Cricetulus griseus: one gene and its partners. The protein of the gene in region 4 interacts with the protein of the main gene of each other region in a pairwise test. Links are inferred from orthologs where the notes say so. Each region holds a gene or a part of one and is shown on either strand. Other genes may lie near its edges. The genes, in order: Zdhhc17, Ubash3a, Hsd3b7 and Spry2.

The links.
Region 1: the proteins of Spry2 (region 4) and Zdhhc17 interact in binary tests that used the Homo sapiens proteins (3 or more experiments, as listed by UniProt). The link is inferred for Cricetulus griseus from reciprocal best matches to the Homo sapiens genes SPRY2 and ZDHHC17.
Region 2: the proteins of Spry2 (region 4) and Ubash3a interact in binary tests that used the Homo sapiens proteins (3 or more experiments, as listed by UniProt). The two-hybrid records come from large-scale screens. The link is inferred for Cricetulus griseus from reciprocal best matches to the Homo sapiens genes SPRY2 and UBASH3A.
Region 3: the proteins of Spry2 (region 4) and Hsd3b7 interact in binary tests that used the Homo sapiens proteins (3 or more experiments, as listed by UniProt). The two-hybrid records come from large-scale screens. The link is inferred for Cricetulus griseus from reciprocal best matches to the Homo sapiens genes SPRY2 and HSD3B7.

What each region holds. Positions count from the first base shown.
Region 1 is NW_023276806.1:144,512,808-144,516,989, reverse strand, and holds the start of Zdhhc17 (palmitoyltransferase ZDHHC17), read right to left. Parts: upstream 2,804-4,182; 5' UTR 2,697-2,803; coding exon 2,604-2,696; intron 1-2,603. UniProt on the Homo sapiens protein: Palmitoyltransferase that catalyzes the addition of palmitate onto various protein substrates and is involved in a variety of cellular processes.
Region 2 is NW_023276806.1:259,573,556-259,577,748, reverse strand, and holds the start of Ubash3a (ubiquitin-associated and SH3 domain-containing protein A), read right to left. Parts: upstream 2,813-4,193; coding exon 2,700-2,812; intron 946-2,699; coding exon 892-945; intron 1-891. UniProt on the Homo sapiens protein: Interferes with CBL-mediated down-regulation and degradation of receptor-type tyrosine kinases. Promotes accumulation of activated target receptors, such as T-cell receptors, EGFR and PDGFRB, on the cell surface.
Region 3 is NC_048596.1:72,969,154-72,973,386, forward strand, and holds the start of Hsd3b7 (3 beta-hydroxysteroid dehydrogenase type 7), read right to left. Parts: upstream 2,848-4,233; 5' UTR 2,700-2,847; intron 2,355-2,699; 5' UTR 2,349-2,354; coding exon 2,183-2,348; intron 1,944-2,182; coding exon 1,788-1,943; intron 1,573-1,787; coding exon 1,464-1,572; intron 1,394-1,463; coding exon 1,294-1,393; intron 1,172-1,293; coding exon 1,009-1,171; intron 630-1,008; coding exon 214-629; 3' UTR 1-213. Other genes in the region: histone-lysine N-methyltransferase SETD1A, read right to left, coding at 3,939-4,112, 4,188-4,233. UniProt on the Homo sapiens protein: The 3-beta-HSD enzymatic system plays a crucial role in the biosynthesis of all classes of hormonal steroids. HSD VII is active against four 7-alpha-hydroxylated sterols. Does not metabolize several different C(19/21) steroids as substrates.
Region 4 is NW_023276807.1:257,384,592-257,388,600, reverse strand, and holds the start of Spry2 (protein sprouty homolog 2), read left to right. Parts: upstream 1-1,157; 5' UTR 1,158-1,580; intron 1,581-4,009.

The DNA of each region.
Region 1 (4,182 bases), on a different chromosome or scaffold from region 4:
TGTCTGAAAGAGGGAGAGAAGGAGAAAGAGGAGAAGGAAAAGATAAAACAGAAGCAGCAGAATTGTAATCCCAATCACTCTGGCCCCAAAGCCTGTGTTCTCCATTATCTCATGTAACCTCCTTAACGAGCCATTAGTAAAGTGTAGTTATCATCTTCATCATCATCCCAATTTCACACACTCAGAGAAGTAACAGACCCCTGTTCTGCCCCTAACACACTCTAAGGAGCAGAGTAATACCAAGTCCACAGCAGGTGCAAGAAACTAACCACAGAAAAAAATGACGACTTCAGTCAGTCCCCAGAGTTCGAGAATTTAAACTACTAGACCTTGTGCTTACAGGGTAAAAGGAACATATATCATACCAATTTCAACTCTGAACAAGAGGGAAGTTGACTTTCTAGTAATATACCATCTATTAAATAATAGACTGATGACACCTAAACTTCAAGCTCTCTATCATATCAAGCAATCTCTAAACTTATTAGCAAGTTAAAAAAAAAAAAAAGTTTGCCAGGCTGTGGTGGTGCATGCCTGTAACCCCAGTACATGGGGAGGCAGGCAGATCTCGGTGAATTCAAGACCAGCCTGGTCTACAAAGCAAGGGCAGTCAAGACTGTTACACAGACAAATCCTGCCTCGAAAAACCAAAAAGTTTCTGAGATAGTCTCACTATGTAATCCTGGATAGCCTGGAACTTGCTATGTAGACCATATCTTACTCAGAGATATTCCTGACTCTGCCTCCCAAATACTGGGCGTGCACTACCACACCCTGCAAAATTATGTTTAGAGTAACAAACAACACACTTTTACAAAGCAACACCTTTTTGTTTTGTTTACAGTTTGGTCTGGTTTTTGGAGACAGGGTATCATTTAGCCCAAGCTGGCCTCCAACTCCTTATACTGTTTGGGCTAGTTCTGAATTCCTAATCACCCTCCCTCCACCTTCACCAACTGTCCTAAAATACTTAGGGCACTTTAAGTGCTTGAAACATACACACAGGAACAGATGAATAGAAATATTCCTTAACCACAATTGCAAAATGTCTCAAAACTTTCTGGACATATTTTTAGGGCTTAAGTGTAAACCAAACGAAATGTCTCTAATGCCAATTCTAAGATTGTTACCACTTCCATTTTTTAATGATTTGTTTATTTTACTTCATGTGCACTGGTGTTTTGCCTGCATGTATGTCTGTGTGAGGGGTGTCAGATCCCCCAGAACCGGAGTTAAGACAGGTGTGAGCAACCATGTGGTTTCTGGGAATTGAATGCAGGACCTCTGGAAGAGCAGCCAGTGCTCTCAACCACTGAGCCATCTCTCCAGCCCCTACCACTTCATTTAAAAAAAAAAATTTATTCTTACTGCATAGTTCTGTCAGAAGCCCAAAGTAACTTTTTTTTAATGAGACTTCTCCGGGCACGTATTTCTAAGAAGCTGTCTAGTTTTGGGTGTAATGAAGTTATGAATGAGATGATGACTGATGACGGAGAGTGAACATATGAGAAAGTGGTCCTTGTTATTCACAGTTTTCTCAAGATACAAAAATCCAGAAAGAAAATCAATTTCAAGCCAAGTAACCACCTTTGTTGGCCCGGCAGTGAACACCACAGATCTGTGCACAATATTCAACCTCAAGACACGACCTGAATTCTACAGGGAGAAGCGCTCCTCTTTCCTCCCTTCCCCGCATCTCACCGTGCACCGTTAAAACCGAATGAATACACATTTGCTTCGAGGTCTTTGCTAAACACAAATCGGCCACAAACGGGGAGGTAAACAGCTACAGAACGTGGCCGATATTCGCTTGGATAAGAAGATACAAAAGAAACGATGGGAAACGTGTTGCACTGTCTATCCATCCTCCCCGACACAGACCCGGGTCCTGAAACAGCTGTACTCTGACAAGCTAACGTACCTGTGTGTGTGTGTGTGTGTGTGTGTGTGTGACCAGTGTGTGTGGACCGGGGGGGGGGGGTTATCCCGAAAATTCTGACCGCTCTTTGTTTTTGTTTTAATTTTAATGGCTTAAGGGCAAACACTCAAAACCACCGAACCCGACGTCCTGAGCGGCGAGTTGGTTGCTCTGACTTATCCTGGAAGGACATCACTTTGCCCAAGAAACTACAATTGACCCCACCAGGAGTGAAGTGATGGGGAAGGCAGTGTCACCCACCCACCCACCACGAACGAGGAGAGCAATGCAAAGCACATCCGCTCGCTGCTCGCCCTGGGAAGGCTTGGAGCGAGACCAGGGGCTTCAGCGCAGGTTCCAAAGTGTCAGCAGGCCCCCCCGTCGCCTCTGCACCCGCCGGCAGCGCGGCGACCTAGCAGACCCATCCACATCTCCACCTCTGTCCTCCAGGCACCGCCAGGGACGGCGTCCCAGAGCCCGCCCCGGCCGGGCCCGCCCCGCTATCTCCTCCCCCGTTATCCGCTCGCCACCGCGCTCGGGCCTGGACTCCCTCCTCCAGCCTCCCTCCCCGGGTTCCGCGCGGACCCCCTCGCGGACGCCTTCGGCCTCCGCCCTTGGCCAGCCTGAGGGAGCGAGGACGGCGGGACCCAGGGCCCGGGACCAGGCGCTCGTCGCGGCCCCTCACCTCGGGGTGAAGAAGGGGCACGCAGCCCGTTTCGGTATCGTACTCATCCGGGCCGTCCGCCATCTTGGTGTTAAATCCCTCCTCCCGCTGCATGCCGGGAGAAAGCGTTTCAGCCTCGCGGGGCTCGGCAAAGGCGGAGGGCGAGCGCGAGCCCCGACGAGGGCGACGCGGCCGCCGCCTCCTCCTCCTTTTCCTCCTCCTCCCCCTCGCCCAAAGCCCCCGGGACGCCCCCTCAGCCCCTCCCTCCGCGGCGGGCGCGGGTCCCGACGCGCGTGCGCGGTCCGGGCCGGGGCGGGAGTGTGAGAGCTCTGCTGCACTGCGCCGGGACAACGGACAGCGCTGGGCGTGGGCGTCGCGATCCGGGGGCGGGTCCCGGTCGCAGACCGATGCTGGTCCGCTCGGGTCACCCGGGAAAGGCGGCTAGAGGAAGGACCTGGTCCCAGAGCTGGGCAGTGCAGGGCCGGGACCCCTCCCAGGGAAGCTCGGGGGGCCTCGGGCGTTTGCCTCTCTAATCTCTACCTGTGCCTCGGGGACACCCGAAGGAACAAGGACAAAACCTGGCTTCTTGGGAAAGCTTTTTGTTATGTGATCCCGTCTTGCCCTCTTTGGCATTGAGCTAGTGCCTTTCTAAATCATTGTTTTACAAGGTCAAAGCCCCACTCATCCCCCCCCCCCATCTGCTACATTTTAATATAACCTAGGAATTCAGATGTGAAAGCACCGGAGTGTGACCTAGATAAAAATGACTAAAGCCATCTTTAAGAGGATATTAGGGCTGGGAGGGGGGCTGGTGGAAGGATTCTAGATTGGATTTGTTTCTGGTTTGGGCTACGAGGGATTGTGAATCTCTACCGCTCCAGGGCACATTCAGCAGAGAGCGATTAAGAAACCCGACCGATTGGAGATCCTGATAGTAACCAGTTAAAGGCAAATCAGTTCACCAGGAATCGAATCCTGCAATCGAATAAAACCAGATTTGTTTGTAAAACGGGAGGAAGGCACGGTAGAGGAATAAAGAATAGAGATGGAGGAGGACTCCCCCCATTCCCCCTTTGTAAGGTTTAGCTTCCCGCCAAAAGAATCCGAGGAGGGTCTAGGGAGAGCTGGGATCGGTTCTGGATTGGACCTCGATTCTGAGGAGGTGAGGAAAAACCGGGAATAGCAAGGCATTGGATGCGATCCTGAGCCCAGGACAATTTAATGACTGGGCGCTCCCAGTAACAAATGCACATGACAAAGCAGACTTATATTCGTTGGTAAAAGAGCAGTAATCTCTCAGAAAAGGATGACTATGCGGTTTTATAGCTGCTTCTGGTGAGAGGAAAGAGGCAGTACCCATGAGTGTCCTCTCAGCACGGCTTTTCCTTCCTTCACGGACCGATTTTCATTCTTCTAGTCCCGGCAGAAACCAGGAATCATGCAAACCTAAACAGAATTTCGAGTTCTCCGTTTACAGCGCCAATCTTTCCCCCAGTCAACAAGGACAGAATCCTTTGATTGGAATATTCCGGCCGCATCTCCTTACCCTGACGCTTTTTGCTTTTTTTTTTTTTTTTTTTTTTTTTTTTTTTGCATTTAC
Region 2 (4,193 bases), on a different chromosome or scaffold from region 4:
GTTCCCGCTGCATGGCTTTCCCGCCATGATGGAGTGCACACCCAAACACTCCCAGATAGACCCTTCCTTCTTTAAGTGGCTTTTATCAGGCATCTGATCTCAGCTACAGGAAAGGAAACTAACACAGAACCCAGGTCCCCATGCATACTCGAACTGCAAGCCCTCCACAGCAAGGAGTCACAGCCAAGCCCAGGATCTGCCTTTTGCTGTTTGATTTCCATGGTGGCTACTTCAGATAAGAGCAGGAGGGACTTCCCAGTTGGGTGGGGAGGAGCTCCTAAGAACAAGGACCCCCTCCCACCCCAGGAGGCTGAGGGTGACAGACAGGTGGCTGGAGTGGGAGTTCAGGAGCGTCATCTTTCCCTACACCCCTTCCGGGTGTATCCTGAGATACCTTGGGGATTCCCAACCGTCTTTAAATTCTCTTCCATCTTCAGTGACCTGAGAGTATGGTGAATTTCATATCAACAAAAACGACACCTTCCTACTTGTTTAACATAGATCATAAACAAGAACCTCTTTTATGAGTCAAATTTGGATTAAGTCAGTTTTGTTTTGGTGTGTGTGTGTGTGTGTGTGTGTGTGTGTGTGTGTGTGTGTGTGTGTGTGTGTGCTCTCACTAATGCATGAATGTTTATGCACCAGGGGTGGAACCCATGCTGGGCAGGATCTGTCTAGAGTCCTAAATCTGGCTTTTAAGTGAGAAAATCTCTAGATTCTCTCTTAATGTCTTAAGGAGAGTTTTATTACTTTCCTGGGCTGGGTGGAAATGGATGCCATTCTACTTCACTTCCACAGACACCCGGTTCCCCCCAGAGGACCCACCCAGGGAATAGAGTCCAGGTGGTGTCACCCCAGCCCCCTTAGGCCTGCAGCTCCCATCCCACTTACCAGTCTGCAGCCTCCTCCGCTGTCTTCCTCCCTGTCGCTGCTAGCGCTTTGAGCCTGCGGGTCATGAACACAGGATGGTCAAGGCCCAGTTGGTTTTTCCTTGGAAGGGGTGAGTTGTAGGAGTGAGGAAGCTACTCATCCATGCTGTGTCCTAACAGGGCCAAGCTGCGGGACATCCCAGCAGGTACCCTTATGCCAACATCTCCATCCTTCACACAGAGATTCATGCTCCAACCCTCACCCCCACTCACTCCCCTCCTATGACCTCTTCTTCCTGGGCCCCGGAGTCCTAGAACTCAAGACCTGACTTCTGTCCTCTCTTGCTTTCCTCTCTCCGCACCCTGCTACCCTAACAAAGCCAATCCTATGCACGTGTGACTGCTGAGGTCAGCTGGGACAGGCTGCACTCCTGGCACATGCTTCCCAGACACATGAAACCCCACCCCAGTTGCTCAGCAGGAAGCGTCCCTTACCCAACCACTGGGCAGACTGGTCCACATCCCTCTCCTGTGTCCCCCACTCTCAAATGCTCATTGGTGCTTTCCTCATGGCTCCATGTGTTTTATTCATTCAGGGACCTGGGATGTAAATACGTTGACTTGTATTTGGCTGAGCTGGGCCAAACAGAGCAGAGTGGGCCACACACCCAGCCATCATTAGCTGATACAGCAGTCCCCATTGGAACCCCGAGTAGTGCTGCCCAGTACTACACCCATTTGTGTGAAGAGCAGTGGGGCTGTAGCCACCCGGAGAGGCCATGACAATGAGGCCATGCCATGAGCCCTACTCTGAGCCCTGCCCAAGTAAGAGCTTTAGACCCACAGGTGTTTATTGTTTGAGCTAGCGGGGATTTTGAAGGGGAGCCCACCAGCTTGAGCAGTAAAACAGAGTGGGTCGGGGAGGCATGGGGAGCTGGCTCCTGACCTAGGCTTGCCACAGACTATTGTTTAGGCCTTGATGTTCTCATCTGCAGAGGGATGGTGAACATATCACTGATGGCTTCCTGATGGTCTGGGTTCTGTTCCCCATTTAGTGACAACAAAGCCCTGATATTGGGAGCAGACTGGACTAGCTTCAATACCCTGTCCTCCACAGTGGCCAGAGTCTTTTTTATCTCATCGAAGGAGCGTTTGGCTCACTCCCCCAGCCCCCACCAGGCCTGGGCTCCCTGAAGCATACTTCTTACTTATGTCTTTCTGGGAATAAGGACTACAGCTAAGAAGCGGGTTTGCAATGGATGATGGGACCACGGTCAGCAGCATCTGTGCCCTCTGAGCCTGGGGACTTGGATGAGCCAAGTGGTGCTGAGCCCCACTGTCTCTGGAATTTCTCACTCATTCTCTTGTCACCTGAACATTCCAGAAACTTTCCCTAGAGACAAATGGCTTTCCCTGGGCTGCTTAGAAACTCGGATGGTAGTTCTCTCAGGGGGTCCTATCCGTGGAGACTCAAATATCAGAGTCACATACCTTGAACTGTCTGTCACTTTTGGTGTCACTGATTGGCAGGAGAATTGGCATCTGCCCTCACTCTCCTCCAAACCCCACAAGTGGGCCTCCAGAGACCCACATGGCTTCTATGTTTCAACTCTATCAGTCAGGTAGAAGAGATGATCTTTCAAAGGTCAAGACCATTCCATGTATAAACAGGAGGAAGGGGCCTCTTTGGAGACACCATCTCACACTAGTGTGACCGCTTTAGCAGGAAGTCAGCAACACTTGCTTATCCAGGGGGTGGCAGGTGGAGCAGAGGGGTCTAACCAGGCAGGGAAGCCGGGCTGTAGGGCCCTGGCAGCTGCAAGTACTCACGCGATATGTGCGGGGAAACCCATGGTCAGGAGGGGGTCCAGGAGCAAGGAGGTGTTGCGGCCCTTGAGCTTGTTGGAGACCTTGGCATAGAGCTGGGTCTCCCCCGCAGCCATGTCTTCCTGCTTGCCGGGCAAGAGGAGCCTGCCTGCTCACTGCAAGGCACAGATAAAGTGAGAGCAGAGAAGGAGGCAGGCTGAGGCTGTGAAGAAAAACCTCAAGGCTTTTTTGATCTTTCTGACACAAGCGAATATCCTGTTTGCACAATGATTGGGCTTGAATTCTCCTTGTGCGTCCACAGCAGCGTCTTCTAAATCCACCTGCTTCCATGGGGGGGGGGGGGGAGAGGGACTGCCCTGAAGCTCATCACTGGGGTTTGCTGGGTACTTGGGGAGCTTGAAGAGGAGGAACACCTGAGAAGGCTGAGGGAGCAGGCTTCTCTCGAGGGTTCTGCTGGCATCCACCCTGGACCTTAGCCTCCTTAGTCTGCATTCAAGACACTGAAATTCACTCTTTGCATGGTCCCTGCTTGCTCTAAAATCTAGAAAACCTAGTCTTTTTTAGTTTTTATTGACCTTTTTTTTTCCCCAAGAACTTTTAAAGTCCAGTGGTATGTGTGCAGCATGAGGAATTTCCATACAGTGAGCACATTCTCTGACCCAGGACTGATGAAACAAGGGTGTAAAACCTAGGGCATTTTAGTTTTACACCCCTCTCTAAAGGGACAGTTGACAGTGTCTGGAGACATTTGTGGTTGTCAAAAATCTGGGAGGGGTGGGACATGTGGCAACTAGAGGATGTCAACCACAGCTGTCATCAGCTGCACAGCACCCAGGACAGTCTACAGCAAAGGGTGAGCTTGTCTCGTGTGAGCGACGCAGGTTAAGAGACCCCATTCCATGGATGTCAATAAGGAGTACTCTGCACCCCAGGAAGCCTCTGGTAGTGGATTAGTATTTTTCCCTGGTGTAAGAAGGGACTTTGAGAGCCCATCCCATGTGAAGGGATACACTCTGGCCCTGGACACATGGGGAAGGGCCCAGGCCCAGCACAGGAAGATTTGGTGGACTTTGCAGAGCCCCTGTTGAGGGCCCTACCCTGCCTGGGGAGTGGTGGGTGGATGGGGTGGGGGGTAGGTTGGGTGGGGGGAGGAGGGATGGGGGTGAGGAAAGGGAGAGGGAGAAGGGACTTACATGTGAAACAAGCTTGTTCCCTAACTTGAACTAAAAAAAAAAAAAAAAAAAAGAGACCCCGTTCCAGAACTTTCCATTCCCTAGAGGACCTGCCCCACCTTGCCTCTTCTTGTGGGTGCCCCTCCCCTACAGATCTACTTTAATTTCAAGTCTCATGCTACTAGAACACTGTAACACATGCTATGTCATGACACACTTTTCCTTTCTTTCCTTCTTCCTTTCTGCCTGCCTTCCTTCTTCCTTCCTTCCTTCCTTCCTTCCTTCCTTCCTTCCTTCCTTCCTGCCTGCCTGCCTTCTTCCTTCC
Region 3 (4,233 bases), on a different chromosome or scaffold from region 4:
CAAAGACAGGCCTGTTCCCAAACCCTGTCCTAGAACTTGGAGGCTGGAATACCAGCCAGGCTCAGATCTGTGTAGGTAAAATGGCAGGGTCCATACCGCCCAGTCAGACACCACAGCTCCCACGTCAGAGGGCAGCCATGTCTCTTCCTCCAGGCTCTGAAGGCTCAGGACCTGAGTATGTACCACAGTGGCCTCCAGTCCCTGGCCCTGCCATCACCGGGCTGAACCCTCCAAGGTCTGCACCCAGAGAATAGTGCGGGCCTTGCTCTCTTCCCATGAGAAGAGGGGCTTGTAGCCAAAATGGCGCTGTGCCTTGTTGGTACTGACAGTAAAGGTGGTGTTGGCCATGGCCAGAGTGTAGGGATTCAGCAGGGGTGTGTACAGCACCAGTGGGCGGAGCAGCCACTGCAGCAGGGCATTGAGGGTAGCCAGCAGCACCAGCAGCCAGTAGGGCAGCAGTGGGTGGGTGCCTATCAGTCGAAGTCCACAGGGACCCAGAAACTCCATGTTGAAGTCCTCATAGCTCTTATAAGGTGATTTGTCATAGCAGAAGTACACCTGGCCCCCCATGAGTGCCGCCCGCTGCTCCAGCTCTCGGGCCACCAGCACGTGCATCCAAGCCACATTGCCTACCAGTAGGGAGGGAGGTAGATATGCCACTGAGGGCCCTTGGTCCAGTCCCCTATTTGGCCCCATGTAGATGCCACCCAAACCTCACTACTGTCTGGACAAGGTAGCCAGCAGCCTTCCTGGATGTCCTGTACAGACGCTGCCCTTCTCTTTCTTTGGAGAACTGTCAGGCTCAGCATAACCTATGACATATTTTTTATGTCAGCCCTCCCAACTGACAAGGATACTTTCTCTTTTGCACCCATGCAGAAAATGCCCACATGATCACTGTCTGCCTGGGCCCTCACGGAGCCAGGGCGACACTCATGACTCTGCCACCTTGAGAGACAGACCTCTTGCCCTGCTCTCCGTCCCCCCTTGCCCTTGCCCTGTCCTTACCAACATACACCCGACCGTGCTCCACAGAAGCTGGGATGGCCCGAAACAGCCGACCCCCAAAACGTAGGCCCTGGTTGTAGAAGTCTCTCATGATCTGATGACCTTCACCATAGATGCCCGTGGGTCGAAGGGCACATGTCACTAGGGGTAGCCCTCCGTTGACCTGATAACAAAGGGAAAATGTTGGAGTGTACCCCTCTACCCTGGCCACCATGCAGTGGAGATGGAGTCAAAGAAACCTGGGGGTCAGTCTTCAGCACCCCAAGCCCTGTCTTTGCAGTATACCTTCCTCCCATTGGCCTCCAGGACCAGCTGCTCAGCAAGCGCTTTGCTGCAAGGATAGGGGTGCCTGTGGACTGCCTCATATGGGGTGTCTTCATTGCCCCTAGGCGGGGAGAAAAAAGACTCAGTGCTGGAAGGAAGTGGACTCTGAAATTAAGTGGGGCTAAGCTTACCTGTAGAAGGGGTGGCCCTTGACATTAGGCCCCACAACTTCCATGCTGCTTGTGTAGATCAGGAACTGAGTTCCAGTCCGTATACAAGCCTCAATCACATTCTGTGTGCCTGTGAAGGGGACAAATGCAAGCTGTGTCTTCCTGACTCGGCCTCTTTTTCTGCTCCACCCAGTGTCTAAGGAGAACCACAAGTCAGGAGAGGATGGGACAGCAGTGATGGGGTTGGGTTATCAGCAGGACAGGCTCAGACAGGAAACTCACAGGATGGCCACAGATTAAGGGACGACCGGTGTCACACAAAAGAACAGGAAGGTAGCGCCTCACCCTGCACGTTCACTTGGTGGATGGTCTTTGGACTGGCCTTCCCAAACACATCCACCAGCCCAGCTGTGTGGATGACCACGTGAGATCCCGCCACGGCAGCTGTCACCTGGTGGGCTTGAGTCACATCCCCTTGGATGGCAGTCACCTGCACAGGCCCTGGTGGAGAGGCCCCAGGCAGTGTCAGAGCTGGGGCCTTGACCTGCAGCTGAGTTCGGCCTGCAGCTGAGTTCAGCCTGCATGCCCCCAGGGGCCACGTGCTCCCAGTGACTCACCCATCCCAGCTGTGTGAGCTGGAAAACAGACACAGGATCATCTTTTCCACAAGTGCAAGCATCCCAGTTCAGGGAGGGATGGAGCAACACCCCCTCCTCATGCTCCTGCCCGACCTCAGTCACCTGTTTGCAGCTCCTCTAGCCAGGGACTCAGGTGCAGGTCAAAGACACGCAGCTCCCGGAGCCTGGGCTCCCGTTCCAGCAGCATTCGAACAATATGCTCCCCCAGGAAGCCACAGCCACCTGTGACTAGGTATACCAGTGTTGGCACCTGTGCAGATTCTGCCATGCCCAGCTGTGGGAAGAGAATTTCCCTCACTGGAATTGCCTGATACCACCTGCTCCAACTGTGTTATTCCTAGAAGAGATCTAGTAGGTGGGGCAACGATATGAAAGAGGCCGAGTTCTAGCTGTGGGTTGCAGTTGTGTGCTTGTAGCAATCAGGCTGCCTGCCCTCTTGACCCTAACCGCTGAGTCACTAGGATTGGATGCAGAAAGGGTTAGGGACTGAGGTGGATGGAAAAAATGACTGGGGATACTAAAGGTGGAAAACAGCAGAGCTGGATAGAAAGGGTATAGAGAGGCAGGAAGAGCTGAGACTAAGAGAGGGGCCACCTGGAGCGCAGTATCATCTGCCTACCTGTGGCTAGTCCCAGGGAGTCCAAACTGGCCACTGGGAGAGGTTGTGTCCTGGACTGGTGGGCCAGCTAGCTGCACACAGGCTTCCTTCCTTCCGCTTGCTCCTCCCTCCTGGCCCATTCCAGGAAGGAGACCAGCCTAGCCTCCACCCCTAGGGGCGGGCAAGGAAGTTTGGAGAAGGGAATTTTTGCTAGAGTGCCCCCTGGTGGCCAGTTCACTCTGTGGCAGGCAGAGGACAGAACCTGCCCACTTGGTAATGATGTAGTTGGGGATAATGGGGTGGAAACAGGGTGACCTTGGTTTGTCCCTCCTGCTGGGTTCCCCAGTAGGCTGGAGGCCCAGCACTAGCTGTGGCTCTGGGGAGAGAGGAGGGAACCCTGATCTTGGTACAGCTCTGGCTAGCGTCCATGGGGAGACACTGGCATGGTTGTTGCTGTCCGTTAGGTGGTTTGCCCACAGCAGTACTGCTGTGTCTGTAGGCCTATTCACCCCAAACTTCAAGCCACCCATTTCCCCCTTCTCTTGATTCACCCACTATGTCAACTTGCATCCCAGCCTGCTCTTCCCAAAGATAGTGACCAAGCATTTTTGTACAATAAAGTTTAATCACAATTATAAAAATGTGGCGTTGGGTTTTCACTATTAACATTATGTACAATCCAGCCCAACAAGAAGGGCCTGCCCACCACCATCCTGGCCCACTGAGCCAGAGCCCTGAGACACCAGGGTGGGAGGGTGACCCACAGGGTCTGGCAGGAACAGATGAGGCAGGGTTCCAGGCACAGAGTTCCCAGGACTAGGGGCCAAAGGCCCCCCCAGGGGGAGAACATGGCCACTGCCCCAGAGACCCCTAAACTGGGGAGGGGTGCACATAGAGCTGAAGGGGGAAGTCCCCACTAACATGAAGCAGAGGGGGCTATTTAGCCCCCAAGAATAGCATCTATACAGGCTGGTACCCCAGGTTTCCACAGGAAACAGCTGCTGGCAGCTACAAAACATTTACAGCTTCTTCTCCGCAAAGAAAAAAAAAAAAAAATAAGAGGGTGGTTGGGCGTGGGGTACAGGGGAGTCAAAAGTTACCTCAAAGGACTGAGGCTCCCTTGCTGGGCTCAGGGCCCCTATCCCACATGTGGAGATGGGGACATGTGGGCCCTGCTGAGCCCACTAAGGCTGGGGGTGCTGGGAGCTTAGGGCACCAAGGGGGAATAAATAGGGGTGAGGGCACCAGTCCTGCCCCACCTCAGTTGAGGGAGCCACGGCAGCTTTCAGTGCCACACAGACACGGGATCTTGTTGTCCTCGAGTGGGAACTTGTAGTCGTAGGTGATCTCCTCATCCACGCCAATGGGCTGCTTGGAGTAGATCACAATCTTCTTCTGAGACTCGATGGTGATCACCTTAGCGTAGCAGTTGGGCTGCAGGAGGGGCAGTGTAAGCCGCAGCCCCCCTCACCCCTGCCCCGCCCAGCCCTGGCCCAGCCCTGAGCGCACCGTGCAGCAGTGGTTGATGAACCTGGCCAGGTTGCCGCACTTTGTG
Region 4 (4,009 bases):
AGTCTTCAAAAGGCCTCCATCTATAGATAATCCCTCTTAAAAATGAAATTCTAACAAACTACACGTCCACACAATCAAAAGCCAATCCCAGCCAGAGCAGAAGGGACTTGAAACCCGAATCTGCATTCCGTTCCTGCCGTACAAGGCTCGGAGGTGGGGGAGGCGGTTTGTGCTGGTGCCCGGTGTATAATCGGGTTAATCCAGTAGACAAAGAATAAACCAATAGCCCTCCCACCTCACTTCCCGCTCCCCTTTCCCTCCCTCTCCCGCTCCCCCCACCCTCTTCGCCCCCCTGGGCATTGGAGGGGGTGGGGCGGGCGAAGGAGGCGAAGAGGTAGATCCGAAATGGATTCCCGAATCGAATCTTTTAAAAAGCCGCAAGTGGCTTTTCACGCTCGCACCGTGCGGCCGGGTTAGTTTTTGCAACGTCCCCTCTGGTCTCCGGGCGGCGAGGGAGAAAGTTCCCTAAGTGAGCCTGGCCTCCGGCTGGTGCTCGTGGCCTCCGGGGGTGGGCGAGCGAGCGAGCGGGCGGGGCGGGGGGGGGGGGAGCCTTAAGGTCAGTGTTTCCTTGAAACTAGATAAACTGACCTCGCGGTGGCCGCAGCGGCCCCGCGTGACGGCGCCCGGGCTGCAGGAGCGACTGGGGACGCGCGGGGCGGCGCGGTTGCCCTTTTGAATGCCTCCTGCGGCTCGGAGCGCTGGCGGGCGCTGGAGTGTGAGTGAATGTAGCCCCGCCGAGCCAATGAGCTGGGACCGGATGCGATATATCCTCTGGGACAACAACTGCTCTGTTCCGCCTCGGATCCACATGACGCCATTTACTGCTGCCGCGGCCGCTGCAGAGCTCCCTGCCTCCTCCGGAAAGGCGAGGGCGCAGGCCAGCGGCTCGCCCCCCCAGGCCCCAGCCCCAGCCCCAGCCCGGCCCGGCCCCGGCCCCGGCCCGGCCGGGCCCAGACCCTCCTCCCCCACCATCTCCTCCCCTGCGCACCCCGCCCCCGCCTCGGCCTCGCCGCCGCGCCTCCGCAACGCCCAGTCTGCACGAGCCAGAGCTGCGCGCCGCAGTGCGAGCGGAGGGGGCCGGCGGAGCGCGCAGCGCCCAGGCCCCGCGCGCGCCCGCCCGGCCCGGCCCGCGGCCCCGCGCCAGCCTCCGCTCCGAAGCAGCCCCGGGCCCCCAGGACTGGGCGAGCTGGCCTTAGGTTCTTTGTAAGGCCGTGTTCGCCTCTCTTTCTCTCATCGGCCAGGAAAAAAGAGACTTCGCCAACCACGGCGCTTCGGCTTCTTGTTCATTGAGAAAAAAAAAAAAAAGAAAGAAAAAAAAGAGGAAATACTCCGTGCGCTTCTGGAAGGGAGGTCATCTCTCTCTCTCTCTCTAGCCCGGAATCCGAGAGGGTTCCAACGGTGGAGGATTGGGTTCCAAATTTTCCCCTGGTTGTTTTTCTCCTGCCACCGATTACTTGGAAGTTGGACTGAAGCAGAGTTCGGAAAGAAGGAAAAAGTTTGCATCGGGACTGGATTTACTTTGCACATCGCAGAAAGAAGAGAGTCCAAGGGAGAGGGGTTGGTGCAAAGCCGCGATCACGGTGAGGAGCGTTTGGCTTTTTCCCTGCTGGAACCACAGTCCGCCGCGAGTGGGGTACGGGTTCCTCTTTCCCCTAAACCCGTAGGCTTCCAGGGAGGATCGGGAGCTGCCCCGCGGATCTGCTTCGCCTAGGACAGGGGTTCAGTCACCGCCGGGCTGCAGGGTGCGCCGGTGCAGTGTCCCCACTCCGCGACACCGCGCTCCCTAAGGGCTTTGGGGAGGAGGACCGCTCCACTGCGTTCTGCTCCTACCCTGCTTTGGAGGCGGTTTAGTCGCCGAGATCCCTGCTTTTCCTGATCGCTGTTGCAGGCTCGTTTACGCTGCTAACCTGTTCCTCCTTTCGGTGGAAGGCCAAGTTCTGGGGAAGCCGATCCTGCGGCGGGGGGCGCCTGTGGGGCTGGGGTACTGGGCTTCTCATCTCACCACCGCACCGGAGCAGAAGACTCGGCGGACAAGCCGAGGGTAGGCTGCCAGGCGGAGGGAGTCCCCGCCTCTGCCCGGTGTGGACAGTCTAGCCCGGTGCGGGTGGGAGCGTCGCCCAGCCTGGCGCCGCGTCTCTGCGGTTCGGAAGTGCGGCTTTCTCTTTTTTCCGTTCTTCGTGGTCGGCCTGGGTCATGCTTTTTTTTTCTTTTTTCTTTTTCTTTTTTTGATGCTTGGGCTGACCTAGCACAGGAAGAGAGTTATTAAGTGGTCGCGATCGTTTTCCATTACCTGAAAGTAGGTGGCAAAAAAAACTAGTTTCCCCCCTCCCTCTTTTGTGTTACTGTTTTTGAGATTTGGAGTCTTAACGCCTTTTTTACAAAGGGGTTTCTGTGTCGGTTTGCCCCACCCTAGTGCTGAAGTCCTTTCCCCCTAATCCTTAGTCTGATCACACACTGTTCTTAATGGGGGTTTCAAAGCACTCAGAGGGGGAGGGAGAGGAACTGCGAGAGCGCAGGGGGTGGAGGCGGCCCGCGAAGGAGGCCGCCAGGGATCGGCAGAAATCACTTTTTTTTTTTTTCTTCCAAAAGATGCTACTTTTCACGGGCAGTCTTCACGGGAAGTTCCCGATCTCAGGGGTCGGAGGCCTGCACGCCTGGCGTGTCCAGTGGGGCTCTAGATAAAGCTTTTTCTTTTTTTTTTTTTTCGTTTTAAGAAATAAATCTTTTTTCTTGGTCTAAAAGGAGGTAGGCGTGTGCAGATTGCAGGCGGTGCTCTCTTCGGTCATTGCACGCTGGCTGGAGTCTCTCTGGGAGCGTGGGTACATAGACTTCTGTGCAAGCTGTGCGTCCCGACCCGGCTCTCTTCCTCGGGGCGTCGGATTTGGGAACTTGTGGGGACAAGCGTTTTGAGGGCCTTCGCAGAAACACCTTGTGGTGACCTTGCTGCGGGGGTGGGCGTGTTGGAGTGGCACCCCCTCTTGGGGCTGGGTGGCAGTTCTCTTGGGTTGGGGGAAATTTTAGCTGAGGGGGTGCGGAGGAGGGGGAAGTGTGCTCGTGCATTTCACGACACGTCCCCTTCGGAGGCGCCCGCGCCCCCTGCCTGCCTGAGCTTCAGGGGATTGCTCGCAGGAGGGGCCGGGCTGGCCCTAGACAGCGTCAGTCCGCCTGGAGGAGAAAAGTCCCCGGGGTTCTGGCTGAGTCCCACCTGCTGCGGACTGTGTGGGGGCGCAGATAGAGCCGATAAACCCAGTGAAAGCAAAGAACAGCCTTGTGTACCTTGCTGTTGGAGGTGAGCAGATCCGGTTTCCAGCTCTGTCTAGTTCTGAATTAGGAGGCGTTTGTCACCTGCCTTGTTCGCTGCCCTTTTCCAAAAAGCCAAGGTTGGATTAAAAGTCCGCTTTTGCTTATTTTCTTTGGTATTTTTATGAGGGCCTGGGAGAGGGGTGGTACTTTTTAAACCGAAGAATGACTGTAATTTAAGCGATCCCTTGACGAAATGATAGGTTTCAACCGTGACACTTAGGATTTTTAAAACCTTTCCTATTGCTGTTACTTGCTTTTGTGTTTCTGGGTATTTTTCAAAACGAGAAGATAACATCATTTTTGCATGCTTTATTAAACAGGGAGAATGACTTGGGATTGAGGATATAAGGCTAGACTCATAGGTCTGTGGAATATTTAATTCTCGAGTAGTGGAAAATACGTTTTGGTCTTACGAGTTTGTTTTCACGTGATAGCTGATGGGAATCGAAATGACTTCAATTCTGTAACTTTGTACCACTGTACTTACTTAAAAATGCAGCCTTAATTGTTCTCAGAATGTACTTTTATATCATATGGGACTGGCAAAAGATACTGATTACACAACTCTCGGTGCTGACTTAAACCGAAGCTGTTGTAGGCATTTGTTGGTGTTTAGTGTAAAAAGGATCCTGACAAATTTAAACCTGTTACAAAATCTGGAAGGTATTTAACCTCTGAAACTGTTGGTAACCCTGATAGGCTCCAT